Linked DNA regions of Callithrix jacchus. The main gene of each other region encodes a partner of the protein of the gene in region 3 in a complex. Links are inferred from orthologs where the notes say so. Each region holds a gene or a part of one and is shown on either strand. Other genes may lie near its edges.

The links. Proteins that work in one complex are often made in the same cells at the same time.
Region 1: the proteins of BACH1 (region 3) and FBXL17 are in contact, whole or in part, in a cryo-EM structure (PDB 8UAH), measured with the Homo sapiens proteins. The link is inferred for Callithrix jacchus from reciprocal best matches to the Homo sapiens genes BACH1 and FBXL17. Residues at the interface, in NP_001177.1 of Homo sapiens: Val20, Leu21, Ser23, Leu24, Gln27, Val32, Leu33, Asp35, Phe39, His48, Arg49, Ser50, Val51, Ala53, Ala54, Cys55, Ser56, Ser57, His60, Ser61, Arg62, Val64, Asn72, Thr74, Pro76, His116, Asn117; in NP_001156787.2 of Homo sapiens: Asp395, Arg421, Asn447, Gln473, Gln498, Glu499, Met524, Arg548, Cys574, Leu575, Tyr598, Val600, Ser601, Asp623, Trp626, Met651, Arg652, Val676, Gln678, Asp679, Cys680, Arg682, Thr683, Glu685, Gln689, Trp692.
Region 2: the proteins of BACH1 (region 3) and FBXO22 are in contact, whole or in part, in a cryo-EM structure (PDB 8S7D), measured with the Homo sapiens proteins. The link is inferred for Callithrix jacchus from reciprocal best matches to the Homo sapiens genes BACH1 and FBXO22. Residues at the interface, in NP_001177.1 of Homo sapiens: Ser7, Val8, Phe9, Ala10, Tyr11, Glu12, Ser13, Ser14, Val15; in NP_671717.1 of Homo sapiens: Asp366, Gly371, Asn372, Phe373, Ile374, Leu375, Arg376, Lys377, Cys378.

What each region holds. Positions count from the first base shown.
Region 1 is NC_133503.1:101,701,703-101,711,820, reverse strand, and holds the start of FBXL17 (F-box/LRR-repeat protein 17), read right to left. Parts: upstream 5,975-10,118; 5' UTR 5,557-5,974; coding exon 4,555-5,556; intron 1-4,554. UniProt on the Homo sapiens protein: Substrate-recognition component of the SCF(FBXL17) E3 ubiquitin ligase complex, a key component of a quality control pathway required to ensure functional dimerization of BTB domain-containing proteins (dimerization quality control, DQC).
Region 2 is NC_133509.1:25,091,361-25,101,692, forward strand, and holds the start of FBXO22 (F-box only protein 22), read right to left. Parts: upstream 5,975-10,332; 5' UTR 5,947-5,974; coding exon 5,804-5,946; intron 5,448-5,803; coding exon 5,309-5,447; intron 1-5,308. UniProt on the Homo sapiens protein: Substrate-recognition component of the SCF (SKP1-CUL1-F-box protein)-type E3 ubiquitin ligase complex that is implicated in the control of various cellular processes such as cell cycle control, transcriptional regulation, DNA damage repair, and apoptosis.
Region 3 is NC_133522.1:35,355,705-35,365,944, forward strand, and holds the start of BACH1 (transcription regulator protein BACH1), read left to right. Parts: upstream 1-5,362; 5' UTR 5,363-6,090; exon of another isoform or gene 6,091-6,211; intron 6,212-8,193; 5' UTR 8,194-8,216; intron 8,217-10,240. UniProt on the Homo sapiens protein: Transcriptional regulator that acts as a repressor or activator, depending on the context. Binds to NF-E2 DNA binding sites. Plays important roles in coordinating transcription activation and repression by MAFK.

The DNA of each region.
Region 1 (10,118 bases), on a different chromosome or scaffold from region 3:
AAAATCCATGTGACAAACTGTATTAATAGAATAAAGGCAAAAAACAAAAAACACATGATCATCCCAACTGATGCAGGAAAAAGCAATGGACAAAATCCAACACCCTTTCTTAAAACATTCAGAAATAAACTTCCTCAACCTGGGAAACAGTATCTACCAAAACCCCAAGTTATCATTATACTTAATGGTAAAAGAATAAAAGTTTTTCTCCAAAATCAGAAACAAAACAAGGATGCCTGCATCATGACTTCTATGCAATACTGTACTGGAGACTCTGACCAGGGCAATTAGGCAAGAAAAATAAATAAAAGGCATCCAAATTGTGGAGTTGGAATTAAAATAGCCTCTATTCACAGATGTCATGATCTTATATAGAGAAAAATCCCAAAGAATACGAAAATTAATTTTAGCACTAATAAGCAAATATTTTTATATACTAGCAATGACTCATCTGAAGATGAAATTAAGAAAGTACTTCCATTTACAATAGCATCAAAAAGAATAAAACACTTTTATAGCTTCAATTTCTTCATTGAGATTTCCAATTTGTTGGGTAAATGTCATTATATTCTGTAATTATTTAAATAATGCTTCCTTTCTTTTACCATATTTATAATAGTTTGAAGTCTATGCTAAGTCTAATATGTAGGCTTACTCAGAGTCAATTTCTATTAACTGCTTTCTTTTTCCCTTAGTATGGGTCACATTTTTCTGTCTCTTTATGTCTCATAATTTTTTGTTAGAAACTGGACATTTTAGATAACAGTCAGTGTAGAATTTTATATTTCTGAGCCTTTCAACATGTCTGGCCTTAAACTATGAAATCTGTGTTCTGGGCAGTGTGAATACGTCTGTTTAGATTTTAATTCACATATACATGTTTTATCCTGGCTTTCTAGGGAAGTTATCCTGTGTCTAAATAGCTTAGTTTTTAGCTATGTATATGCCAAAGATATGCTCAAACAGCTTGAGCCTGCTCTTCAATCTGTGTTTGGGTTAAGAAGGGCACATTCAAAGCTTAGAGAATTCTTATCTGCCTTGAACCTTGCTCTCAGTTAGACAACCTCAGGTATCCCCTACACATGTGCACAGTTTCACAATATGACGGGATATGTAGAGATTATCCCTTTATGGTTCTCTCATTTCCAGGGTCAGCCTTTTAATTTATAGCTAGTCTTCCACTCATCCCAACTGACACTACAACCTTAAACTAGAAAATATATGGTTTCTCCTTGTTTTTCCCTACCAAGTTCACTATATTTTATCGACAAAGGTTTTTACTCATTGCCCCAAATTGAATCAGCTCTCTGACAGCAAAGCTGCTGGTTTTCCAAACTACACTTTTTGCCAAAGGTGCTGGGGCAAGAGGTCATAGTAGGGGCCCATGCAAGAATGCTGTAGACTTGGGCTATTCTTACCTGAAGCTCTAACAGTTTTCCTAAGAATAAATGTTTCTCAATTTTTTTCCTTGCTTTTAGTTGATTTCCAGAGTTCAAATAGTTTTGGGCAATTTTGCCAGTTTTATACTTCTTTGTGTGTGGAAAATATTCACCAAACTCTTCAAGCAGGCACAGGTCAAAGTAAATTTCTTGTGGATATTTTTATGCTCATCCTCCTTATCTGACACATGAGAAAATAAAAACTTAGGGGGCCTAGATCATTTTTTAAGGTTAAAGGACTAAATGGTCTTGAAGGGCTAATTTGTCAGTTAACAATCAACACATAGGCATGGTCACTGGAACCAAGTAGCATCTTGTTTTAAACATGCTATTATCTTCTTTGAAGGTTAGTTTCCTTTTTTAAAAAAGTGAGACGGCTGTCATAAACCAAAGATCATTGACTAAATCCAGATTTGTTTTGTTTATCCAAGTGAAGAAATTTAAGATGTGGGTAATAAGCATAAAATAGGATATTCTGCCAAAGCTAAACAACTTTTGAAAGAAACTATTATATTAAAATGCATTTTTGACTGTTTTAAAGCACATCATATTTATTAACCTATATAGAGGAGAAAGATTCTTGTTGACATTGAGCCACAAATCGGCCTCTGATATAACACAGTTTAGTTTTTCTCCTCTGCCATACCAAAAAAATTTAAAAAAATAAAAAACACCACTGGGCAAGCACGGTAGCTTTCCTCAGAAACATCTTTTTAATTTTTAAACATCCTCACATTTCTCTCCCAAATTCTACCTGCCTCATTTTTTTTTTTTTTTTTACAGCTATAAAAGCAATACAATTATAATAGCTATGGACCCACTACCAAAACAGGGCATAATTTCAGAGAATGTTTTCCAATAGTGATGATGGACTTGTGCCTCTTCATGCAACAACTCTTCTAATATCAGAAAAAAATAATTGTCATAGCTCCTTAAGTCTTCCTTTCTCCAAGTCAAACAACTCCAGTCTTTAACAGAAGCAGAGCCAAAACCCTTTCACCACCACAAGGCTCTACTGTGGCTCAAACTCTAGTAAGAATATGGACATTCCCTAGAAATGTCTCTTCGTAGTGTGGCATATCACCCCGAGTTTCAGCACAGACTCTAAACACCTAAGCATACATTTGTTCTTAAGTATTTACTGAGTGCTACTATATGCCAAGCACTGCACTTAAAGGAGGAGAAAGCAATGAACAAGATATGAATCCTGAGTCTCTACCCCCAAAAACTGGGGTTGGCAGACACTGAACAATCTCTAATTCAATTCATCCCAGATAGTACAACTCACTTCGTGCTGAATACCACTAGGACCATGAGACTCAGACAGAGAATCTTTATTAGAGTTTTCCAATACAAAAAATGGAAATCTACAAAACATGTCCAAATACACACAAAAGGGTAAGCCCATGTAATTCCCAAATGTCCTTTAGACAAACTTTTCAACCACCCACAGGGAAAAATATGAAAAAGAACAATGCAGAATTCATAGAATAAATTTATTTTATTCTATTAGAGTTTCTCCTTATTATGAGACGTCCTTCCTTTTTTTTTTTCTTGATATTAAAATGTTTTTTTTACTTCATGAAATAACGTTTTAAGTAGAAGGTACCTGGCTTTGTTCTGGTTCATTCCGAAACAGTCTTACTCGTCAAGAAGGCAGCAATCAAACTTCTACACCAAAAATTTGTTGGTATTTTATTTACCCATATCATCCAGTGATTTAAAGGACTCAAGAAAGTTCCCTTTGTCCTAAAATGCTCCTCTGCACACAAAGAGTAAGCAATTACTCTTCCAACAAGTATACCACCATAAGAATTAGATTATTACATCTTGACACAAGGAAATGTAAGTTTTCCCACTCTCTTGCTGTATCATTCACAAGAACATTAGTACCACAGTAAAACAGACCCAAACACACAGTACTGTAAATATGCAAAAAGTCTAATCAAATAAACCATGTTGGTGACAATAACAATTGTAATTAAAGTTACTTCAGTAATATTAAAAGTAGCCAAATTCTTAACAAGGTTATCTATGGCTAGTCTCTAGTATCATCCACAATGAAAATAGTTTATATTTATTAAGCCCCAGAAAGGGTGGGGTGAGAGACGGCAGAAAAAGAGGAAAAAAGTTAATAATAACTTAATAAAAACTCTATTACATAACTAAGGTTGTCACTAGCATTGACAAAACTGCAAAATATGGTAGTTGAAAATGACACAAATTTCATCCAGGACACCTACCTCTACTCACTGGTCTCCCAACAAAAAAATACATCTGTGCTACCTCTGGTAATCTGTATGCTTTTACGTAAGGGTTAAAATGTAGGAGGGCATTACCACATAGTAAACAAAGGAATTTTTAAATCAAGTAGTCTTAAATTACCTCGTTCAAGACCTGGATCTGCCCTTTACTTTCTGTATGTGACCTTGCACAAGTCATTCAACCAGTTCAAGCCCCACTAGACTGTCAGCTCCATAGGCGCTAAGACCACTTCTTCCTGACTCACTACTGTAAAAACCCTGCTCCACGGCACGGAGAAATCAGTTTCTTCTTGTATAAAATAAATATATTAACAATATATTTATCTCGCAGCGTTAACTGGATAAATAAGTGGGATACTGTATATATAAAGCTCTAGCGCAGTGCCTGATTATGGTAAATGCTCAATAAAAGTTAACTGTTTGACATTAACTACCAGCCATTAAACCTGAAAGTAACGTCTGAACACTTCCAAACACTGATATGCAAAGCCTTTACCCACTAACTATAAATTCCTCAATTGATTAAAAACAAATTCCCTCCCCCCCGCCCCCCACAGAATGCCTGCGAAGTTTCTAAAACACTGGGTTGGGATTCTAATAATAGCTGAACCCTGAAGGGTGGGTTATAGAGTCAAGCTATGAAGACATTCAGTAGACTCCAAGTGCTTATACTTCAAAAAATAGGCCACAGGCAGAGGACCCACTGGCTTCCCAGTCTCCGGTTCGGACGTCCCTCGGCTGTCAGGGAACCCCCCCTCCTCCGCGCTTAGGGGGAGGAGAGAGAAAGCCTCGGAGGCGGGGGCCCGGGGTGGGGGAAAACGAGCATCCCTGCGCCTCTCGCCCAGACCCACCTTGAGCAGGATGGACGGCGGCAGCTGGTTGATGTCTGGGGTTTCGGGGGGCGGCTCCCTGTGACAGTCGCAGGGGTTTTCGGGGGGCTCCAGACAGTCCGCGTCGCCACATTCACGCTGCTGCTGGGCGGACGAGGGGGCGGTGCCCCCGACTCGGACAACGTCCCCGCCAGCCTCGGTGGGAGCACCTTCGGAAGTGGGAGAAGAGGGCGGGGGGCAGAGCGGCTGCTGGGGCTGCTCCGGACCCTGGCAGCAGCCGGCGTCGGGGGGTCTGGGCGGCGAGGCGCCTCCCCCGGCAGGCCCTCCCCCACCGCCGCCGCCGCCGCCACCGCCGCCGCAACCCCCGCCGCCACAGCGGGGCTGCTTGCAGGGGGTGCAGGCGGGGACCCCGGCCCCCTTCCGCTTGCACACCATTTCGAGGGGCGTAAGGGGCTCGGCCGGCGGCGGCGGCCCCCGGAAGAGCTGCACAGCGGCGGGCGGCCCCAGGAAACGCACCGGCCCCAAGCTGGCCAGGAAAAGGCTTCGGCCCTGCTGCTCCCAGGCGGCGGCCGCAGCCAGCCCCAGCTCTTTGCAGCAAGAGGCGGGCGACGAAGCCGAGGCAGCAGCGGCGGCGGCTGCGGCGGCCGAGGATAGCAGGAAGCGGCGGGCGGCTGCGGCGCAGTCCTCGGCGGCCAGGGCCGCGTAGCGCCGCGCCAGGTGCTGAGAAGAGGAGGCGGCGGCAGCGTAGGCCCCGTCCCGCGGCGGCGGCGGCGGCGAGAACGGCGGCTCCTCCTCTGGGCCGGCGGGGGCGGGCGCGCCGGGACTGTGCACGATGAAGCAAAGCATGCAGGGCCCGCGGAAGAAGCAGTCCCGGCTCCGGGGCGCCGCCGGCTGAGGGGGCACCTTGGCTGGGGTCCGGCGGGGCAGCCTGAGGAGAGGGCGCCGGCGGCGGCACCAACTGCAACAGCGAGGCCTCTTCTGGCTCGGGCGGTTACGCGGCTCCTTCGAGAGAAGGTGGCCCATATAGAAGGCCCCGAGGAGGGGCACCAGGACGGGAGGGAGGGAGGCCCAGAGAGGCGAGCTCCCGGCAGCGGGGCAGGCCGCTCGCTGGCTCGGCCTCCGGCCCGCAGCGGGGTCGCCCGCTCTGCGCACACACACGCACACACGGGCACACACGCGACGGTAGGGGGGTGGGCGTTAGCCGCGGGCCGCCGGAGTGCCCGAAGGGGGCTACATGCTTTGCCCAGAGAAGCCGGGAGAACGATGGGAGCGAGCTTTAGGGACGCGAGGGAGGGAGGGAGCGAGCGAGCCTGCCGGCTAGGCGACCAGTCGGGCCCGGTCAGCCGGCTCAGTCAGTCAGCGCGGCAGCGGGGGCAACGCCGGTACCCGCTCGGACCATTTTAACTGCGGCTCTGCCGGCGGCGCGCGCGCCCGCGACTCTGCTGAGAGCCGCAGGAGCGCGCGGCCCATTCCGGCAGGGGCGGAGCCAGTTGCGGCGGCGCGCTTGTGGCTAGGACGCCGGCGCCCAGCTGCTCAACCGGGACGGCTGCCACAGAGACACTGCGGGGAGGAGGCCGGCCGGCGAGGGCTCGGGACTCTGGGCTCACGAGGTGCGGCGCACGCCCCTCCCTCCCGCCGCCTAAGGTTTTTTCCGAGCCTGCTGGGCGTGCGCCACGTTTCTGAGGCGGGAGGAGACACTTCCGAGCCTGCTGTGTGACATCCGTTTACACAGCCGCGCTGACGTCCGGAGGTGTAAGTTCAAGAGCTGCCATTGGCCGGGAGCCCCTTGGCTTTTCCCCTCACCTTCCACCCCCATCACTACTCCCGACTCGGAAACTGAGGCCTCTTCGAATCCACTAGGCGGGTTCCGCCGGAAGGGCCTGTGCGAGCCCTGACCGCTCGGCGAGCGGAGTGGCAGATGCGCGGCTCCTGGGTGATGCGCACCCAAGTCGTGTGAGGGGTTAATTGGTTGTACCGCACCACTGTTTCCCCACTTGTTTTCGTACTTGTTGCGTACTACTTCCTTTCCACAACTTTATTTCAGAATGAAAGCATATATCAAATTACCCATATACAGCTGAAGGATAAGCAGTTTCCTCATCCAGTGAGCCATGCAACACCCAGGCTACAAGCTGTAGATAGCTTCATTATCTGCACCCTCGGAATCCTGTCTAGTCATATATTACGTATTTTAAAGATGAAGGTGCAGTGCCTGCTGTATGACAAACCTTGGTGATCCCGGTTAGAAAGAGTAAATAGCTGTGCCGGCAATCCTTTAGAAGGTTTAACAATATCGAGGTTAACTTTCACGAGGGAAAAATTGGAGGAGGCAAATACCGATGGGAATGAGCCACTCTAATGAGAGAAATAAGGGGAGAAGGTGGAATGAAGAGTACTTAGGAAGGATGCTTTTCTTGATTGTGATTACAGAGAATGAGGAGAGGTGAATAAAGGATGGATACAGATAGATGTATGGTTTTTTTTTTTTTTTTTTTTTTGACAATGGGAGTTAAACTTGTTATAGGAAATATTGCTTGGCAACTTATGAGAGACCAAGGCTATCAAGAAGGCAAGATGGATGTTTCTAACAGGAAGGTGAAAGAGTTCTTTCTTTAGGTTCCATTTTCCTTTAGATAGAGTTTGTTTACCTGCCGAAGGGTGGAAGTGTCAGGTGTTTAAAAAAAAATCTGCTAAGGATAACTTGAGAGTTAACAGTGGCCAGCCCCACCCAGCCTCCACTCAAACATGCTATCAAATATTTGTTAATTCTGTCCTCTGTCAGAAATGACTTTAGTCTTAAGTCTGTCATGTTCAGGTATCCATTTTTCAGAGCCTAATGACAGTGATGTGGAATTCCAAGAACCCTGGAGGCGATATATTTGTCAAAAGGTTTCACCTACATATTATCAAATGCATTGCCTGAACTACATTTACCTACAGATAAAATCCACATAACTTTCTTCCATTTGCCTGTAGGGTATCTTCCTGGGCCCCAGGGCAGTGCTTGAGGCCTTATAACAGATCCTTTGACATCTCTACTAGGCTGCACTTTGACCAAAGGCAAGAGTATTATAAAATGTTTTGTTGCTTTATGTCAAAAATGTGAACCTGTCAGAACCAGTTGTAGTGCTACCCATCATTCAAGCTGCAGCAGGGGAGGCTGAGGGATGAGGATTGCTTGAACCCAGTTTGTTATGGTTATGCATGTGAATAGCAACTATACTCCATTTTGAGTAGCATAGTGAGTCCCAGTTTGATTTAAAAAAATGTGACCTATCTATTTCATATAAGTTAAATGCACATCTGCCCTATGAGCCAGCAGTCCCACATCTAGGTATTTATCCAGAGAAATAAAAGCATATATCAATAAGAAGACTTGTACAAAAATATCCCTAACAACTTTATTCGTGGTCACCAAAAATGTCCATCATTAATAAGGCAATATATTCATCTAATTAGATACAACTCAGCAACAAAAGAAAAAAACATGGATGAGTCTCAAAAACTTAGGATGATTATTACTTTCTGGAGATGAGGCCCTTGAATCTCTACCTGCTTATAACAAGCTCCCTATATGATTTCTGTACAGACAGCCTGGCACCATGCAAATATATCAGAACTACACACACCATCCAACTTCAGCTTCGTGTTTTTAGAGATGAAGCAACTGACTCTGGGACTTCTGAAGTCGTTGACAAAATTTACAGTATTCGTTTTCTTACTCCCAATTTCTAAACCATTTAGCCACAAGCAGATTGTCTTTGGTCTACCTATTGGACTCTGCAGACAAATAATACCTGTTTTTTTTAGTTAAGATATTTTGCATGTCTGTTCTCATCACCCACCATCATCATACCACTAGTTCTCTACTATTATCAGGAGAGCCACAATGAGTTTTGGAACTCAGTACCCTAAATAATAGTAATACTATTGTAAATGTTAAAGATACAAAATTATGAATAAGAGTCATAAATTGCAATTATAGGGACAAATGTAACAGCTGATAGCTTTGCTTGTTGGGGGACAGAGGGAGCTGGGTTGCAGTGGGAACCAACCCTGGACAGCTTGGAGCTGTACTGGCACTATTAGCTGTGTATTTGTGGTACTGGCAGCTGTCTTGGCATTCTTAGTTCTGAGTGTTTTATCAAATATAAACAATCTCACAAAACGTCAATATCGGTTATCGTCTCTCTGTGACTGTAACAGACAAGACAAAAATAAGACCCCTTCATAATCATGTCTAAACACACCAAATAGAAGCACAGTCTCTAAACTACAAAGATGACCAAACATTCTGGTTAATATAAGTCACCACCGCTTCTTGACCAATTACAACCTTAGTCTTGCTCCATTCTTCCTGCCTTCTAGATAACAAATATTAAAATATTCAATTACAGGATTACCTGTTTCCTGCCAGCATTCAATCCAGAGCAAAACCTTGACACTTCCCCAAAATCACCTAACCCAAGCTGAAATGTTTTTCACAATACCAATACCCACTTACGGAGAGTGCCCCCCACCCCCACCCCCACCCCTTGCAACGAGTCATTAAACCCAGCTTCATTTGACTCTAGGTGTTTTCCTGCTGCTTTTTAGCTGAAGGGCATTAGCATTTATTATAATCAGATGTCACCAGCCTATCTAAAGTGACTCCCTCCTTTACCCTTTCCTCTTACCCTGTTGTTATTTTTTTTGTAACTCATTGTCACGTTTCAAAAAATTTTTGGTTTGTTCCATTATACCATAGGCTCCATGAGGACAGGAATTTTGTTCAGTATTCAGGAAGATAATCAGGCTACTATGTAGAAGATGGACTAGGGAAGAAGCAAGCTCTTGGAAGGAAGACCAGTTAAAGTTGATCAAAAGGTTAGTGACAAGGCCTTAAAAGTATGAATTTAGGGCCAGGCATGGTGGTTCACCCCTGTAATCCCAGCACTTTGGGAGGATGAAGTGGGCAGATCACCTGAGGTTAGGAATTCGATACAGCCTGACCAACATGGTGAAACCCCACACAGCTGAAAATACAAAAATTGGCTGGGTGCAGTGATGCATGCCTGTAATCCCAGCCACTCAGGAGGCTGAGGCAGGAGAATCGCTTGAACCCCAGAGGTGGGGGTTGCAGTGAGCCTATATCGCACCATTGCACTACAGCCTGGGCCACAAGAGTGAAACTTAAAAAAGAAAATAGGAACTTAGACATTCTGAGAATAATGAAATAAGGTTGTTATTGAGAAACATTTCTGATGGGAGTTGTCAGGATTTAATGAATTCTTTCTGAACCGGATAGAGGGAAGGGAATGATGGATATAGGGAGAAAATGAACACCCAAATTTTATGTTCTTATGACTTACTTCAATGAATAACTTACTGTGATGAAATAATGGATTCTGTAATGTAAAATAGTTACGTATTTGAATAGTATCCCAACCTAGGGTAGATTTGAGTTGTGACATACTGAGATTCATACTGAAAACCAGTATATAAATTTAAAATGTTACAAAACACGTAAAAAACATTTTTCTTTCTTCTTTGCTAACATAGATTATACTCACTTTGAAATTCACATTTTCCTATAAAAAGACAGC
Region 2 (10,332 bases), on a different chromosome or scaffold from region 3:
GGAGTGTAAATTAGTTCAATCATTGTGGAAGACCGCGTGGTGATTCATCAAGGACCTAGAAACAGAAATACCATTTGATCCAGCAATCCCATTACTTGGGTATATACCCAAAGGATTATAAATCATTCTAGTGTAAAGACACACGCACACATGTTTATTGCAGCACCGTTGACAATGGCAAAGACTTGGAACCAACCCAAATTCCCATCAATGACAGACTGGATAAAGAAAATGTGGCATATATACACCATGGAATATTATGCAGCCATAAAAAAAGATGAGTTCACGTCCTTTGCAGGGGCATGGATAAAGCTGGAAACCATCATTCTCAGCAAACTAACACACAAACAGAAAACCAAACACCACATGTTCTCACTCATAAGTGGGAGCTGAACAATAAGAACACACTCCCCACAGGGAGGGGAACATCACACACCAGGGCCTATTGGGAGGTGGGAGGCTAGGGAAGGGAGAGCATTAGGAGAAATACCACTATGGCACATATATACCTATATAATAAAATGGCACGTTCTGTACCTGTATTCCAGAACTTAAAGTATGATAAAAAATAAAAATAAAAAGTATCACCTGGTCCAAACTGCTGGTACTCTACCTTCTTTCAGATCAATGTTGGCATTCTGAGTCCATCTACTTCTCATTTACTTTTCACTCATGCTCTTTCATTTTCATTTTGTTCTAAGCACCTATTTCTTCATTCTAGCCCTCAAGAAGTTCACTTTCATAATAATTGAAGCTCTTAGAACATAAACATCAAGTACCAGCAAAAGATGCACTTGCTTTATTTGAACAGGCATCACAGTAACAGAAAAATCTCAGAACTGGGAAAGGTATACAGGCTGTATCACTCCTCTTTTCACTGGTTATCAAATCAAATACTCCAAGCCTCCATATCCAGCCTTGCCAGCAAGTTTCCTTCAGGGCCCCTTAGCTTACTGTTAACATTACCCAGACACACCTACTTCCCCATATAATCTCCTGTTGCTCTCTTCCTGTGGAACTTAAGACTGTTTCCCTCTAGAGACACCTTAAGCGCCACCTCCTCTCCAAAACCTTTCCCTAAACTCCCCCAGTATTCTGGACCTCAGATGCAACATCCCTTACCCGCAGTTAATCTTATTTGTGCCCTATCTTCCCTATGAGCTGGGCTTATTCAGACTCACCTGTTTTCAACTGAACTTTCCAATTAAAAACAAGTGGCAAAGTAGCTGAATTAAATGAAAAGGATGAAGATATTTTTCTAAGCTAGCTATTTTCAAAATTTTTTTACTACCAAATAAAATATAGTACTTAGGATATAGCAAAGCCTCACTATTGGTTAAATGGAAAAAAAAAAAGTTGGTCCATTATAATTTGGGGGAATGCCAAGATGTTTGGATATATAGAATACATTCTATATAAACTAATAAAAGGGACAGGATGATAACCTGTAGGGCCCAGGGCTGCCCAAGATCTACGGATATGGTTTCCTTGGTCCACACAGCATTTTCAAAAAACATAAACTGAATGCTAACGTTCAAATTCCAAAATATTTTTTACATAAATGTGGATTTCCAGATTCTTTTTAAAAATTGGACACAATGGCAACACTTAGACTATGTGCCTCTTAACTAAGGCTAAACAGAAGCAAGCCTTTCCAGTCTGCCATGGTGCTACCACTCTGTTAAGCTACCCGACCCTCTTCAGCTACCTGCCTGACCTTCGAGTCATCTGAGTCTGTGATGCCTGGTATAATGAGGAAAGGAAACAGAACTCAAGAGATTTAGGGGCCAGGTCCAGTGGCTCATGCCTGTTAATACCAGCACTTTGGAAAGCTGAGGTCAGCAGATCACCTGAGGTCAGGAGTTTGAGACCAGCCTGGCCAACATGGTGAAACCCCATCTCTACTAAAAATACAAAAATTAATCAAGTGTGGTGGCACATGCCTGTAGTCCCAGCTACTCAGGAGGCTGAGGCAGAAAAATCACTTGAACCTGGGAGGTGGAGGTTGCAGTGAGATTGGGCCACCACACTCCAGCCTGGGCAACAGAGTGAGAAAGTCTCAAAACACATACACACACACACCCAGATTTAGGTCTTAGGTCACAGTGGCCACAAACTGGGAAAATAACCCGCATCAAACTTTTAGGCCTCAGGTTTCCTATTCCTGATTAAAAGTCTGGTCCTGAGATTTTATGAGTTTCCCTTTCTAGCAGCCACTGAAAAGCAATTGCTGAATTTTCCTTCCTAATTCACACTAGAAGCAGTGACATAACAAGCCTCAATATGAAATGTTCTCAAAGCACAGTGTAAGAAAGCTAGCACCACATTTCACTGTTCAAAGAAGTTACAAATGGCAAGCTGTTTTATAAAGCTTTTGGTGGACTTGCACCACCACACCCATATTTTTGTAGTTTAATATTTTTATTTATATATTTAATATTTTTTCAATATTTTAATATTTTAAATATTTATATTAATATTTTTAGTGGAGACAGGGTTTCACCATGTTGGCCAGGCTGGTCTCAAACTCCTGACTTCAAGTGATCTGCCTGCCTCAGCTTTCCAAAGTGTTGCGATTTCAGGTGTGAGTCACTGTGCCCAGTGGACTTAAAATATTTTTAATAGAAAAGTTAAATCAACTTTCTTTATGGCTATAAACGTACCCATTGTCCACTAGATAACTTGGAAAACACAATCAGTAAGTGTGATTTAAGCAGAGTTTTCGTGTGTTTGTCTCACCAGCAGTTTACTACAATGCAGCACTCCTCTAAGGGCATTACTGAACTCTGTGAAGTTTAATAATGATACTAATAAAAGTATTTAATAGACCTCTATTGAGCACTTATACTCCCTGTACTATAGGTAATGTGTCATATGCATTACATTTTCATTATTGAATCCTTACAACAACTCTATAAGAGCACAGGAAAATTATTATTTTTCTTTTCATTTTATGGAGATGGCACCCGAGGCTCAGAGAGGTTAAGTAGCGTTTTCAAAGTCATCCCACTGTACACCAAAGCTAGGGTTCACAGCTAAGTCTGTCCGGCTATACAGCCACTACAATGTATAAACTCTTAAACCTACAGGAAAATAATGCCTGCTGGGGTAAAAATCTGAAAACGATGACAACGGAGAGAAAAGTTTTTAAAACATTAAATAGAAACAAAAGCTAACATTCTGGCTTTCTTTTCTACTCTCTTTTTTGTCTTTAACAATGCAGATGATACTAAATATGTAATTTCCCAGTCTTTTCACTTTTAAAATCAACATTTTCTCGTCATGAATGTACTTGCAGTTTATAATTTAATAACGTCATTACATTAACATTAGCTTTTTAGTATCTCTTATTATAAATGATGCTCCAGAGAATATTTTTGAGGAAAAGTCTGCCTGTACTTTTAATTTTTCCAAATGATAAACTTCTGGAAAGAGATGGCAAGAGTTGGGACAAAGTGCCAGAGAAGAAAAGTTTTCTAACAAGCCTGCCTTTGGATACTGGCCAGCTCCCTGGGATGAGAGTTCCAGAGCCCAAACAGGGTAAGGAGAAAGACCACCCAAGGAAGGGGGAAACAGAAGATTGGTTACGTATGGGGCATTGATGTAATACCTAAATACATTAAGAATGATGAGAACCAGGTTTCCCATTGCCCAAAGGGAGATACAGATACGAGCAGAGACAAAACTAGAAAGCATCCTGCGTTTGATTCGAAAGGTTGCACCTGTGTGAACTCATGAGTTTCCACACAGAAATATAGTTGTACACATGTGTATACATATATGCTGATTATATACACACATATGCATGTATATACATATATTCCTTGGCTCTAATGACTGAGCTTTGGAGCAGCAAATCCTTCAATGGCAAGGAGTACATTTAGAGAATCTAGATCTTGATTGCTAAATATCACACTCTATCAAAAGGAGCCAGGGTTTCATGGACAAATGGCCAATGCCAGGACCCAAGCAGGTAAAACCCAAGACAAGCTTAGAACACCTTGTGCCAGACAAGTGGTCAAAGATAAAGGAGTCATCTCTAAAGACAATGAGGTCAGCCTGAAGGAGCTCCCCCTAGCCAAACTGGCGTTGGGGGTCCGGGGTAAACTGAACACTAAAATAAATACTCACAGTAACAGATTATATCCCACTGAAATAAGACTTGGAGAGTGTGTACAGATATAAATAAACGAATAGGAAACACGACACTTACATAGTTTCAAATTATCTCTTCAAAAAACACTTAATCATTACAGAAGTGATTTTAGTGAAGAGACTTGGCCGGTACAACCTTAATCGAGTAATCAAAGGTTGTATCACCAATAAAGAGACAAATGGAAATCACATGCCACCTAAAGGATGCCGTGAAAAGAGCACAGCATGACTTCTGTGATTATTTCCTGCCAAACCTAGTAAGAAACACAACCTAGTAAGAAACCTCACACACTGCCAACTGATGGATGTTCTACAAAATAGCCTGTAATTTTCCTAAGTGTCAGGCTTGGGAAAAATCAAGCAAAGCTTGAGAAACTGTTCCAGATCAAAGGAGATTAAAGAAACATGACTTATTTAGAGCAACTTGCAATTGAGAACAGACCTTTTTTGCCATGAAGAACCTTACTGAGACAACTGGCAAAACCTGAACCGAGTCTGAGGATAAAACAGACGAAGTCTATCAGTGATAATTTCCTGATTATGACGGCTGCACCGTGGCTATGTTTGTAAGCCGCAGGAAACTAAAAAGAATGACAGAGCATCAGATTGGCACTTCACTGTCAAATGGCGCCCTCCCACTCCTCAGAGAGATGGTACACCCTGCAGCCCCTCTGACTCCACAGTCCGAGTCTTTACCTCTCCAGGTATTGGCTCCCCTTTTGAAGTTGGGGGCCAGAGAAGCCAAAGAGTACAGGATCGGGAGTTGAAATATTTGGCTTTAAGTTTTGGTTCTTGGCTTTCTAGGTGTGCTACACTGAGCAAAACACACCCAGTTGCCTTCCCAGTAAAACAGACACAACAAAAACTTGCTTCAAGGGAAGCAGGTGGAGATAAGGTTCTGCACATCGTTGTTGTTAATGGAAACAACGGAAACAATGGAAAATGTGGATTATAAGGCACAACATTTGATGAACGGTCAAATAAATCATGACACATTCTTACAGTGTAGTCACTAAAACTAATGTTCACAAATTTTTTTCACGGCACGAGATGTTCCTTGAATTAACAAAACTGGGATTAAAAAAAAAAATAGTTCTCAAAGACTGAACCACCAACCTGCAATTGACTGTGCATGACACCCCTTGCTACTTGCCTCAAGCTCCTCGGCTACCACGCGAACCAAGCAATGCCTCTCCAGGTGGCCGGCATCCGCCAGGCCTGCGGAGATCCAGGTCAAGCTCCGATGGGTCCGCAACACTCGGCGCACACACTCTCTCCATAAGCGGCACACGCTGGGGACGCAAACGCACAAAAGATCGCGAATGGACGTTCATTTTCGTCTCTCCCACGGCTCACAAACCCCCACCTGCAGGCGCAGCAGCAAGAGATCTCTGCGGGAACCGAAGCCCCCGGGGGAAGTAGGTATCAGGGCGCTGGTCAGTTGTGGAGAAAACCTTAAGGGGAACTTCACTCCTCAGGGAAGTCCCGGGGGCTCTACAGCTGGAAGATACCTCGCGGGTGGAGGTCACCTCAGTTAGGGCGAAGGAGCCGGGGGTGGTCCTGGGTCCCCAGGGTCTCTCCCCACCCCGCCAGCCTGGGATATGCCCACAGCGTGTCCCGATGCAAGCTTCCCGCCTCCCCTCCTCACCAGGCCACCCGCAGCAATGCCTTGGCGGGTAGGAAGGTGAGCACACGCTCCACCACCTCCGCCAGGTTACTCAACACGAAGGTGCTCCGTGGGTCTACCGAGGAGGAGCCGCAGCTGTCGCCGCAGCCACCCACCGGCTCCATTCCTCACCAGCCCGCCGGAACCAGTCCTACGGCGGCTCGGAGGGACCCAGTTTCGCCGGCACACGATTGCCCGGCCGGCGCGCACTGAGCAGGCGCCCGCACCACTTCCGCCTGACGGAGAAGGTGGGAGTGGCAACGCGGGTGCGACCCCTGGCCACCGTGTTTCCGGTGCAGGTCCTGGAGCCCTTGCTCTGAAGTTGAAGTTATCCGTCCCATAATACGCCCGAAATTTTTTTTTTTTTTTTTCATTAAGATTGGGTCTCGCTGTGGCAAGGCGGGAGTGGAGTGGCGCGGCCTCTGCTCACTGTAGCTTCTACCTCCCAGGCTCAAGCGAGCCTCCTGGCTCAGTCTCCCTCGTAACTTGGACTACAGACTCCCGCCACCATGCCCAGCTAATTTTTGTATTTTTTGTAGAGACGGGTTTCGCTGTGCTTACCAGGGTGGTCTCAAACTCCAGGGCTCAAGCGATCCTCCCGCCTGCGCCTCCCAAGATGTTGCAATTACAGGCATGAATGAGCCACGGTGCTGGGCAACTTTCTAGGAGGCTTCCTGCAGTGAAGATAAATTCTTTCTCTGTGCCTCTCACTTCCCCGGCACCGCCATATTTCTGAGCCTACATCTTTCTCTAATTCACAGATTCCTTGCAGGGACTAGGTAGTACTTACCCCAAAGCCTGTTTAAATAGCATAAACTCAATTTTTGAACTGACAGCGTTTGCTTTTAAAAAATTGTCTTAGTGTGTGAAAATCACTGCCTTTATTCCTTGTAAACTTAATTAACTCGTTGTCATCTTCAGGTTTAAAGTTTTGAATGAGTAAAATGGCATAAATAGCACCTGCCATTCTAAGGAAGTTAAGTAAGATAATTGCAGTGAAGCACGCCCCAAGCTGTGCACCAGTTCCCCGCCAGTAACATCTGATTCACCTGGGAACTATTAAGTTTTGGCACGTTCCCAGTCCTTAACCCCGACCTCCTGAATCAGACACTGGGGGTGAGGTCCAGCAATCTATGTTTTAACAAACTTTATAGCGATTCTAATGCATGCTCAAACTGAGAACCACAGAAGATATGGAAGCACAGCAGACACGGGTGCGTCCCCACCGAACATCCATTTCTCCCTCCAATTCCTTCCTAAGGGAGCCCTGATTTGATCGCCAGAACTTGAGTAGAAACTTGGTCTAAATTAGCGGTTCTCATTATTGCCTCAGGACCCTTTACGCCTAAAATATCCACACGACCAAATAGTTTTGTGTTACGATTATCAATATTTACCATATTAAAAAAATTAAATCATCTTAATACTTTTAAAAAACATGTTACCCCTTAACAAAATATTTTTGTGGAATTCAACTATTTCCCAAATCTTCCTTCCCCCCGCAACTGGTAAATAGGGTGACACTGTCACTGGTATAAGCCTCTTGAACAGCTGTGGCTTTTTTTTTTTTTTTTTTTTTTTGGTAGACATAGAGAAAGTTCTCTCTGTTGCCCAGGCTGGTCTCTAACTCCTGGCCTCAAAATATCCCTCTGCCTCCACCTCCCAAAGCGTTGGGATTCCAGGTATGAGCCACCAAGCCCAGCCAGTTTTTTTTAAGTCTATAGGCACAGCTACTTAAGGAAGCCAGGTGGCCTAGTTATCACCAAAGCTTCCTGACCCCTTGCCAAATACCAGAAGATAAACAGGCAACCTCCAGTTACCTTTGGATCATTAACATTATAATGCTGAAATCCTCTCCCCTGAAGGAAGATCACTGGCATCTTAGCAGCATGTTCAGGGACTGGGCCTGCTTGTCTGCAACTCCAGCCTGCGCATGCCCTTCATACCACCGCCCCCCTCGCCCCCCGCTAGGCCAACTCTTTCAACTCCCCCGCCTCCCATCCTTCTGGAAAAAGGTGCCTTTAGAGGGTTAGCTCCCCTTCTCCATTCTCTGGCTACTGAATGAAACCCGATTGCCATTCTGAGTAGACATTCTTTCTTTGTGGCTGATGTAAAGTAGGGAAAGAGGACAGTTTATAGTTCCTTCTGTCTTAAGACAGGTAGATTCTCTTGTTTGCTTCTGAATTCAGTCTGTTGCAAAATTACATCACGTAGCCTCTGGAAAACTCCATTGTACACTCGTGAAGGAATGAGTGAAAATAGCAAATGTTTTAATATTATGAAAATAGTCTTTTAAAACTTAAAATTGTCTCAGGGGTCTCCAGTGTTCCCCACCAAATCACACTTTAAGAACCATTTGTGCAACTAATCATGATGGTTTCATTCTTTTCACCAGCCATTGGTTTGGGGGTAGGCGCAGGCCCCTGATCTAACCAAGGAAAAGTGAGAGGCAGTGTGCTTGATGGGATGGTGCTTTTAGAGATTTCCTCACCTCCTAAGGAGATACTAAAAGGCAGGCATTATCTGTCTCTGGATCAAGTAATGTGGCTGCATATATGCCACCAAAAGATGAAACCAACATAGAAAAAAATCTCAAGGAAGCAGAGCAAAACCCATATGTACAGTTACCTGGAGTTGTCCTACCTCTGGACTTCTTGTATGTGAAATAACCTGTCAATTGTGTGCAAGGAGGCCATGGGTACACTAGAGGAGGAGCAGATTATTGTAACTGTGGGAACTAGGGATAGTCATAAGGAAAAAGTAGCACTTGAATTTGTAATGAGAATGGAAGAGAAAAAAAGGCTGAGGAAAAGGTGACTATACCAAGTGTGTACAGACCATTTCTAGGTTCTTTCACTTTCTCTTGTTAAATCTGCCTGTCTTAGCCGGGCACAGTGGCTTATGCCTGTAATCCCAGCACTTTGGGAGGCCGAGGCGGGTGGATCACGAGGTCAAGAGATCGAGACCATCCTGGTCAACATGGTGAAACCCCGTCTCTACTAAAAATACAAAAAATTAGCTGGGCATGGTGGCGCATGCCTGTAATCCCAGCTACTCAGGAGGCTAAGGCAGGAGAATTGCCTGAACCCAGGAGGCGGAGGTTGCGGTGAGCTGAGATCGCGCCGAGCCGAGATCGCGCCATTGCACTCCAGCCTGGGTAACAAGAGCAAAACTCCGTCTCAAAAAAAAAAAAAAAAAAAAAAAATCCACCTGTCTTCCAAGCCTCCTCTTACCCCTTCCCTCCTTAAATATCTTAGTCCAGAAACTCAAGAGAGCCTACAAACACATCAAGCAGTTTTTTTATGTGGGAAAAATGACAAAGTACTTTTTTGCTTGCTATGATCAGCACAAACAAAATGTTTAAATAGTTCTTTATTCATAAACTTGATGCAAGTTTACAAAATTTACTGTAGATTGCCAAATAAAATCTGCAATTAAAAATAAAATCCATAAAACAAAGCATGCCAAATGTGCAGCTATCAATCTGCTTGCCATCAAGATATTAAAGAATTCAATAATGTATTCAAGATTTAGCCTTAGGTTTAAGGAACTTTAATGCTTTAAAGAATTCTGCCTTGTCACTTGTTATCTGAGCAACTGGCACTCAGAACTTCATACAAATGTAACCAAGTGAAAAAGACACCAGAAAATCTATTTATTGCCCTCTTAACCAAAATAGAATCAAAAGAAATTAAACACACCTATAATGTAGAAGTGCCAAGTCTCTTGGATGTCGTTTACAAAGTTAAAAAAAACTGAATCTCAAAGCAAATGCATAAGAAAACACTTTTGAACTTTGTAACTGGTTTGTGCAGAAAAATGTGCTTCTGAATTTCTTGTTAAAAGTGCTTAATAGCTAGAATTTACTTTTAAATCAAATTTGAGTGTTTAAAAATAACTATTACCAACCAAAAAAGGACTGATTCAGGTAAGGCAATAAAATGGAGAGTACCTTGCTTTGAGTCAGGTTCTATAAAAAAAATTACCATATGTAAAGTTTCTATTAATCTTTCAGTGTAAAAGCCATTTTTATGACTATGGTGAAAATTATTCTAAGAATCTCCAAATGAAGTATCTTTTTGTACTTAACTGTGCAGCTTTTCCTCAAGGAGTCTTTGTGCCAATCACTTTATAAGTTTATTAATTTACAAATGATTGCAACATCCCGTTAATAAAATGGAAACAAAAGATGACTCAGTATTTTAAATAACTTTCAGCTCTATCCTGTGGCTCTTCTTCATAAGAAACGCTGAACCAACAAGCAGCATATTCAGCCCAGCAAGACTCTGAAGCCCCAGTGGAAACCACTACTCACAAGCCTTAATTAACATAGTTTTAACTGCTTTGCCTAAAAAGTACAATATAACTCAATTAAGATTTTATCTTCAGGGAACAATTCATATCTTCACATAGTCAATAAAAAGTTTAACAATTTAATGAGGTTTCCTGTCATTATTTTGGCATTATCATAAAATGGTTTTAAACATGAAAGAGCTACTATGATTTTAGAA
Region 3 (10,240 bases):
GTAAGCTGTGATGTCCAGAGAATATCCAAGATGGCTCACTCACATGACTGGCACTTGATGCTCAGTACTGGGTGGCTGCTCTGCTGGGGTTCCCGAGTGAAGAGGCTACACATGTCCCATGCATAGTGGCTTGGTTCTGAGAGAGGGTGTCCCAAGAGAGCTCATTTGAAGAAAGAGGAAGTGGAGGCTGACAGTCTTCAAAAAGACTAGATCCAGAACTGGAAGAACATCACTTCTGCAGCGTCTTCTTGGATATGCAGTCACAGAACCAGATTCAAGATGATGAAAAACTTCCATTCTTGACAGGGAAAATGATAAGAATTTGTGGCCATCTTTAGTCCACTGAAACTTCCTACCGGTTTTCAGAAGCACAATATATGTTTTTCATATTTGGGCCACTTTGGTCGTCATTAAATCTGGTATCTGAGCAGCACCTCTTTCATGATTTGGCCCATCCTGCTGAGTTCTGCTTCAAAATTGGCTTTTTCCTTTTCGTTTTTCTGCCTGTATCTTGATCTTAGACTTTGTAACATTTCAAGCTAAAGGCTACACCTTATCTTTGATTTCAGTTATCAAGTAAACACAAGGGTGTGTTTACTCATCTGCTCTAGGAAGTTCTGTCTTCTAATAAAATATGTTCATTTTCCATAAAACCTTCCAACCTGGGGGCAGAGGTGCTATGATTTCAATCCATAATCACATCTTGGGATACAGGTGTCAAATAGCAGGTTTTCAAGTGGGGAGACTTGTGTTTGTTTTATCTTGGTAATCCCCCACAAGTTTAAAGCCTAGTTTTTTTTGACCCCCAATATTTTGTTGATTGACTTAGTGAATGAATACTTAAAGACAAAAGGAGCTACGGCAATGAAGATGGAGGGAATGAAGTTTTGGGGAGGCTGTAGAGGTTCTACAGATTTGTAGGAGTTATAGATGTCATGTTGCATTTGTGGAAATGAGGATTCAAAACTGAAAGTGGGTGGGGAATAAATGTGGATGTGTGGATCTTTCCTGAGGTTAGGGAGGAGGACAGAGGGGACAAGGGTTATACTGATTACACATCAAAGTTTTTCCAGGATATGTATTATGTCTCGTTGTCCAAATATTATGCTATTGTGTTCCTTATAGCCATGAATACATCACCTATCTGTATGATTTAGCTCCCTCATTTCTGAGAGCCAGGCAAGGCAACCTGCTATTAGAGGAGAAAATGATGGTGTATATATCTAGCTTTTACTAAAAATCATTCCTTAACTGTGGTTTATAGTTATTTAAATTGTTTTCAGTGTTAATTTAACGATAAGATTTTATTTTGGTAATAAAATCAGTATGATGGTCAGAAAGAGGATACGTATGTTTGGAAAAATTGGAAATATCATTTTTGAAAGAAATGTGACTATGCACATATATAATAACATCTTGTGAATAGTATTGTATATCGACAAACCTGCTCACAGCAGAAAAACTGGCCGTCACTTGTCACAGTCAATGAGAAGTACAAATCAAGGACACAGCAGTAAGCTGTGATGTCCAAGCTTCATGGATAAATTTTCCTAAAGAATAATGCACTAAAAACAAAACTACATGACAAAACAAGCACTGACTGCAAATCACTGTGAAACGGTAGCACAGCATCTTTATGTTGCGCTCCTAGTGATAGCATCAGGAGGCAGTCAAACGCCTACACAGTTAGGGGTGGGTCCCCGGTGAAACCCCACCTCCAAGCTGAAGACAGTTTAAAGCCTGCAAGTCAAGCTGCAAGTTAAATCCTCAGACCTGACTGAGAACTTGTCTTCCTGTTTGGCATGCTTTTTCCTGATTGATTCCCACCCTTCACCTATTTCACATATATCTACCCTTTCTAATTGGCTTTCAACACTGTTTTGTCCACCTTTGAGTGGTGTCTTTGCTTTAACCTGTTTTTGTGTGCTCACAAACCAATCATCATGCACTTCCCATTCTGAGTGCATAAAAGCCCCAGGTTCAGCCACATGAGAGGGGATTTTCCCACTTTTGGGTAGGGGAACCACTCCCCACATTTCCTCTTTGCTAAGAGCTTTCTTTGCACTTAATCAGTTCCATTCTACTCACTCTCTAGTGTATGTGACCCTTATTTTTCCCGGTTGTGAGACAAGAACTTGGACCCAGCTGAGGTAAGGAACAGAAAGACCACAACACTAGTCTACTCATCCCAGTTTCAAACTATTATCAATACCAATTGAAAGAAATCGGCTGGGCATGGTGGTTCATGTCTGCAATCCCAGCATTTTGGGAGGCCAAGGCAGGTGGATCATTTGAGGTTGGGAGTTGGAGATCATCCTGGCCAATGTGGTGAAACCCCGTTTCTACTAAAAATATGAAACCTAGCTGGGCCTGGTGGTGGGCACCTGTAATTCCAGCTATTCAAGAGGCTGAGGCAAGAGAATCACTTGAATCTGGGAGGCAGAGGTTCAGTGAACCAAAATCACTTGCCACTGCACTCCAGCCTGGGTGACAGAGTGAGAGACTGTTTCCAAAAAAGCAAAAGCAAAAAAAAAAAAAGCAATCACAATTTTTCTTAGTCCCCAAATCTAAATATTTTTTCTTCAATAGGAATTGAGCAGAATCACGTCTCATTATAACCCCAAGATAATTTTTAAAAATCTGTTATAGTAACATATTTTAATAAATGTATGAGTTAATGTAAAAGATCTTGAGGCTGATGTTCTTAAAAGTTGACCAGTGATGTAGCCTTTTTTCTTGAGTCTGTGTACAGTAGGATTACTCAAGGTTTGTTGGCCTGGTAGCTAATAATGTTAATGCTAACTCTGGAAGTCCAGAAGGCATAGGTCAGGACACACAGTTGTTTGTGAATATTTACACTGATATTCAGGTTTTAAAAGAAATATATTATAAGTGGTTTTGGTTCAAATCAAGAGAATACTGAAAACAAAAAGTGCCACATCTTTTACTGAGCATCATCATTCATTCATTCCTTCATTCAGCCTACAATCTGTTTCCACTCCCTTCACTCCCATTCCTTCTCAATACCAGAATTAGCTTTTTTTTTTCTTTTTCTTTCTCATTTTTCTTTTTTTTGAAATGGAGTTTCACTCTTGTTACCCAGGCTGGAGTGCAATGGCGCGATCTCGGCTCACCGCAACCTCCCCCTCCTGAGTTCAAGCAATTCTCCTGCCTCAGCCTCCCAAGTAGCTGGGACTACAGGCGTGCACCTCGACGCCCAGCTAATTTTTGTATTTTTAGTAGAGACGGGGTTTCACCTTGTTTACCAGGATGGTCTTGATCTCTTGACCTCGTGATCCACCCGCCTTGGCCTCCCAAAGTGCTGGGATTATAGGCGTGAGCCACCGCGCCCCGCCAGAATTAGCTTTTAAAAACAACCACATGACTTAAAAACCCCAACTCACTTCTTGCAGCCCATGGGATAAAGTCCAAACTCCAGGTGCAACACATGAGGCCCTTCTCATACAGACTCAGTTTCATTTCATTCTCCAATTTCATTTTTTGTCCTGTCCCTACTACGTGCCATAATCTCTAACTTAGTACTTAAGTGAAATGTGAAGACCATCTGCTTCAGTATTAAAAATGCAGATCTGTAGGCCTACTCGGATCTACAAAATTAGAATCTTTGGGGGGTGGGATCCAGGAATCTGCATTTTAACAAGGCCCCCAGATATTCTTACCCATACTGAAGCTTGAGAGTCACTCACCTGTGTTGATACTCTCAGCACATTGGTATACCTTTGTGATAACTTCTCAAATAATTAAACGTATCAGGGCATACATCATAATTTTCAGGCTAGAAAATATCACTGCTATTATCTAAAGCAAGAGTTCTTCCCAAAGTGGAGGGTTTGATCTTCCCCTAGAAGAAACTGCATAGGTGTAGGAAAAAAAAAGACTGTAATTCCACTGACTCAGGGTGGAAGCAGAATAAAGCCTCGGACACTCCCATGTGTCTGTAAGAACTCCAATCCTTCTTTCATGGTGTGTTTCCAAGTGTCCTTTCCTCGTGTTTCACTAAGTATCTGCACTTCCACCATGAACTCAGGCAGCCTGGGATGTGAAGTACCTCTTACCTCTGGACTGCTGGGTTCCTCTTCCCAATTAAGACCCAATGCAAATGTCACCTCCTCCAGGACCGCCCCCCCCCCCCCGTAATTCTAGGTCATAATGTATCACTTCACCCCTTGCACTCCCATCCAACTTCACGTATGTGATTTTTCTCATGTATTTTGGAGGTAACTCAAACGTCCCCAAGTCCCACAGCCTGTGGGTGCAAATGCGGTCGTGTTAGTGCTAATACCTGATTATTTATCTTGGTATCCTTTTTGCCCCAGGAACTCCAGGGCTGTCTTCTTGTTGCTGTCTCCAAAGCTAACAACAAAATCCCTTCACACAAATCGTCCTTTGGCTACAGGCCTCAAGGTCCGTGCCATCTCGCTGTAACCCTTGTGGGGTTGGCGTGCCCAGACCCCTCCACTGCGCGTGCACCCCTCTCTGCTGACGGCCCGTGCTTTGAACCCCAGAGGTGTTAAATGGCTTGGGAACATAATTTTAAAACTGACAGTTGGATAAACACCAGAAAAAGCACCAAAAGATGACAGTGGAACCCAGGCTCGAGATGGGCCGGCTGACACTACTGGGCGCTGAACCTGGCTGGAAGCTTCCTGGCAGCGACACTGAAAAGGGAACACCTGTCTTGGGCGCCCTTGTTTCACTGACAGTCAGAAGTAGAGCAACTGTTAGACGCTCTCCACAAAAACCTGGACGCACTTCACATGTGCCCACCAGCAAGCTCAAGTACCCTGTGAAGCTGGGCGTCCGCCACCCCCAGGGCAGGCAGCCGAGGGGCTTTCAAGGGGGTAAAGCGAGCCTTGTGGGGCCAGCGCCCGTTCTCCCTCCTGCTGTCCGCGGGCACCCTGGCAAGCTGCGCCTCTGCTGCATTAGGGCGTCCTGCAGTTCCTGGGACAAGGGGGCGCTCGGCTTTCCGTCCTGCCCTCAGAAGGGAGAGGAGAGTCGGTCCTCGAGTGGAAGTCAGCTCAGGCTGCGGGCTGTGCAGCGCGCGGAGGTCCAGGAACCTCACCGCCCCCTCCCCGAGGCCCGCCCCGTCCTGGCCCTTACAACCCCTCCCTGCAACCCCCCGCGTGGGCTTCCGGCCACTGCGACCCCGGCCGGCGCTACCGCGCTCGCTCGTTCGCTGACAGCCGCCTCGAGGGCAGCGGGGCGGGGCATCGGCCCCGGGGGCGGGGCCTCCAGCTGGCGGGCGGGGTTTTGGCGCCGCGAGGTGGCGGCGGCAGAGCGGCGCAGAAGGGTGGGGGCGGCTGGCCGCGCGGAAGGAGTGAGTCACCTGACCGCTGCCCTCGCCGCCCGCCGGGTTCGCTCGCTGCAGTCAGTCGGGCAGCGCCGCGCCTCAGCTCTGGTGAGTGGCTCGGCCGTCCTGCCGGCCTTCTCCGGGAGGGTTAGCGCGGTCGGGGACGCGGGCCTGTGAGGGGAGGCCCGCGGGCAGGTCCGGGGGAGGCGCGGGCGGGCCGGGGGCGGCTCTTTCTGGGCTGGGCGGGGCGCGGGGGGGGGGTGCCTGCCGTCCGAGTCCTGGAAGTGGCCGTGACGCCGGAAGGGGCGTCCCGTCGGCGCTCGAACCTCCTTCCGCGGCCGGAGCTGTTGTTTACCCGCGCGCGCCGTACTTTACTCGGGGCGGGCGGGGGCCGGTGGCCTTGGGGTCCCTGCCTCACCCCCTCTCCCCGCCCTCGGGCGCCAGCCCGGCCCCTCGCCCGCGGCCCGCTCGGGCAGTGACACATCAGCACCGCCCTCGAGGCTGGGGCCCCGTATTGTCCTCCGTCACCTCCCACCGCTTGCCCAGCCTCGCGTTTCCCCAGCCTGGTGCCTGTCGCGCGTGCAGTCGCGTGAGAAAGGCCGAGTTTGGGGCAGGGGAGAGAAGGCCACCGTGTTGAGCTAGATTTACCGAAGACTGGCTTTGGGGACCGGAGATCCCAGGACTCCCTTTGTTGGAGTTTTGCCCACGCTTTGTAATTAAGCCTCGCACAATATGGTGAGAGTGGGCGTTGATTCTGGAGACACCAGCTTTGTGCTCGGGTAATGTAACACGAGTGCCGTTGCTCTCTCATTCTACACGGCTGTTGCATGTCATTGAGTAGAATTGTGCGGAATGCTTTTATGGAGTGAGGCTTCTGCGTAAAATGTGTGCTGATTCCAGGTAAAGTGTAGTAGTAATTGTGAAAGAACGTGTATGGGAAGAACAAGCTACAATGTCATGCTTGGAGGAACAAAGACTGTTTTTGTTTTTGTAGGGTGCTGTGCTTTTTGAAGAATTATCTAGGTGTAGGGACTGTTGCCCATGGAGGATGCTATGGGAATTTGTTCATATATTTGAACCCTCTTTACATCCCAGAGGGTTTGCATTGAAGGCAATTCAGAAGGATAAAGGGTGGAAATCCCAGTGTGTTAGTGGCACAGCGCTTGAGCGCTTCACGTAGTCAAGCAGAGAAATGGGAAGAGGCCGGCTTCCTTCCTGGTCTTTGGGTAGTGGTGCAAGGGCTGGGCTGGGCTAGAAGGCACTTGCCACTTCTGCCTTTGGACATCTTAAAGTAGCCCAGGGAAAAAAAGGTTCCTGGTGAGTCAGCTTGGAGTAGAGTAGCTTTGGTGTACTGATTCTTGTATTGTTTTTTAACCCATGGTTCTGTCAAGTGGTTTACTATTGTTGAGTATGTTGGTTGGTTAACAAGGTAGGATGACTCTAAAAAAGTTGGGTTGCTGAGTCATTCGCCCCAGCTTGAGAGGTAATTGGAAACAGCTGGTGCAGATTCTCTAATCACATGCCTCCACTATAACAGGCCAAGAAGCGCTCTAGAGGGGTTGCTTCAGAAGGCTGAAGGGGACCCAGCTGGGTTGTTTTGATACAGGTATTCAGTGAAGTGGAAGAGCACTCTTAGGCAGTGGCCAGTAGCACTGAGGTGGTGTTTAAACACAGAGCCTTGTTAGCTGAAGTCTGAGAATAAATTTGCACTGGAGAGAGCCAAAACTTGGGAAGAAATTGGCAGCTAGGAGTAATCCAATAAACAGTATTGTAACAAAAATATTTACTACTCTTACTGGACTGAATTTCCTTTTTGTGGTTTTGTTATGTGGTCTATAAGTTTCAAGCAGTGAGCCTAATTTGTGCTTCACTACACAGAGCGGAGTTGCTCTGTTTTTCATGGCCCTTGGCTTTTTATGCATACACAAAAAATTTCAGGAGTCAGAGGAGGGTAAGCGCAATATGGGTGGAATTAACAGGTTGTATCGGGTCAAGTCTGGAAAGAGCTGTTTAATGAATGGCCAACCATATATACCTGTCTCATTGTCTTGATTGTATGACACTACTGTCTTTACACCTTGTGTCATTGCTTCTTGCTTTAAAAAGGAGCACACAACCCACACACAGTTTAGGAATGGGAAATGTAGAGCTGGGAATTTGGCCCTTACCTTTGGTGAAAAAAATGATTTCTACTAATGGTAGTTCATTTAAAACATTTTGTATTGGGAAAAACTATTTATTTTGTTACTTTAAGTCTGGGACTAGAGGAGATTAGAAATCATGAATTTTTTAAGTATTAGTGCCTCTAAGGTGGGGTGCAGGGGAGGTTCACTTGGAAATAATATATTAAAACTTTTAAAATGTCTTTTAAGAAAGACATTAAGCTTGAAGATACATTATGTGCATATTATATAATGTGTGTACATGAGCCCACTTCTTTTTTATTGGGGAGCATAGTCCATTCATCACCGTCAGTAACATTTTTTCAACAACTAGAATGCTTTTTCTTTTATGGTTTCCTCCTAAGAGTTCTTTCAAAATGTTCTTAATTATTCCATTTAAGTTTTATAGGTCTATTCTCTGTGCATTTTACTTTAAAGATTAGAAGCTTGAGTATAAACTTCTTGTTACATTGTGGATATTGGGGATGGAAATACAAAAAATACAAAATTTCATTTGATAACCTCTATATTGAATTTGGAGACAAGCTCACAGTTGGTTTGTTTAAATGTACTTGATCTGAAGTGCAGTGATATGTAAAAAGGTGCAATGGAACACTTGAAGATAATCTACACATTGGAGTGTAATATGTATATCGCAAATTTTGTGAAAATTACTTTGTACTGTTACTCCTTGAAGTCTTCTTTTTTTTTTCCCCCAAGCTTACACCCACTTCATGAAGATGGTAAGTGGCATTTATTCAGAATATCAATTTCCTACTAGTGGTGGTGGTGGGGGGATGAGGGTGGTTAGTATTTATCATTCAGTTGAATCTCATGTGCCATGTGCCTTCTACACACCTGTACTGTGAGAGATGATGTTCAGAATAATAATTGCAAAGCCCTTTAAAATTACCGCTTGTCAGAGCCTCTCTTTATAGTGCTGATCTCTCCATAACTTATGTTTTAGGAATCACCACTTCCCTCCTAATTTTCTGACTAATGTTCTGTTAATGAGAGAATTGTCTTACCCCTAAAACCTGCATTTCCTGAGCATTCTAAACAGAGGGTTTATTTTATGTGGTGGAGTGCTGATTTTTGAGATTGTTTTGATTTAAAGTATATGTCAAATGGGGTGATGTACTGATGTCCAAAGTATGGGCAATATGAACGCAATTCGCCAGAATCCAGGCCCGTTGGAGAGAGTAAAAATTTCAGGACTGCAGATAAAATATTGACTTACACTACCCCGAAGCCCGGGCATCTGGCTTGTGCAGTGCACTAACAACTGAAGTCGTGGGTTTGATCGCTGTTTAGTTGACAAAGAAGCAGTAAGCAGAATGGTTAAAAGTAGATTCGGAGCCAGACTGCTTAAGGTCAGGTTCTGGTTGTGTCACCCACTTTGAAGCCTTGGGCAAGCTCTTCTTCCTGGTAACTAGTGCCTCATTGTTTCCTCTGTAAAACAGGGATGGTGATAGTAATATCTGTATCAGAGAGATTGTTGTGAGGATTAAATGCGTTAATACAGGTTAAGTGGTTAGAACAGTGCCAGCTTTATAAGAAACATCAATAAATGTGAGATGTTATTATCTGTTGTTCAGAATCAGGGAAGTACTTAGTTACACAGCAATGTTTTATAGCTGCTGAGGGCTGAATTGCAGTCATTAATCACAAATGAGACTGAGGAGTGCAGCAGGTTGCTGCTACTGGAAAAACAACTTTGGGAACACTCTTATGTTAAGGCAGTAGCACCACATCTCAAACATACACCCAACTTCTGAGGACAAGGAACACAGGACATAGCTTTTTACTTAAAGAAATCTAGCAGTTTCAGCGGAATGCTTGAGATGGTCACTAACCAGTTAATTGAAACACTTGCCGTCCTTTGCCTAGTTTGTTCCACGTTGTAGTTGAAGACATTGTGGCCTGGCAGCTTTGGTAACCTGTCCACCCCTCCCTGCTTAATACCAGGACAGAACTAGTTTCTCAGTACATATTCCTGGGTACATATTCAATGTTTGTTGGAAACATTTGGAATGTAAATTTGTTTGCCAGTTAGTTGCTTCTAATTATTTTGTTTTCTTTAGATGATATGTCTATAATAATATAGAAAAATTATCCATGAAATGGATATGAATACAGTGGATATGTTTCTCATATAGCTTCTGGTACCTGTTAGTAATTCAGAACGGTCGTGTTATTTTGACCATTCTCTCAACCACAGTGTAAGTTTCCTGATGGTGAGAATCTGTGTCTTTCTGTTTGGCTGTGTTTCTTTAATAAACTGTTGGTTGCTGGACTAGGTGGTATGATATGGGTTCATTCTAGTTCTGTGGTTTTGAAACTTGGGAATGTTTAACAGATTAGAGGAGAGAACATTGTGTGTTGTACCTTGTAAGTCTGCACTGAGTTGAAATTCTTTTGATTATTTAGCTTTCTACTTTCTGTTTTTATCATTGGTATAAGTATTGAGGAAGCAGCTGGAATTAAGTCATTCTAGTTCATCTCCTAAGATAGACATAAAACTTGTGACTTATTTTTACTCATAATTGGCTTAGAATTGAGTTGAACAAAATATAATTTGGTTTTCTAGATAAAAATGTCTTATATGTCTAATACTTTGAATGTCATCACTCCTCTAGAACAGATTCTTTGTTTAGGATCAGGGACAGGTTAGAAAAGTGCCCCAAAGCAAACATGAGGAAGAAGAAATAGTGGTAGCCAGAACCTTGGTTGTTGATGACCATTGTATGAGCATATGCAGTGAAAT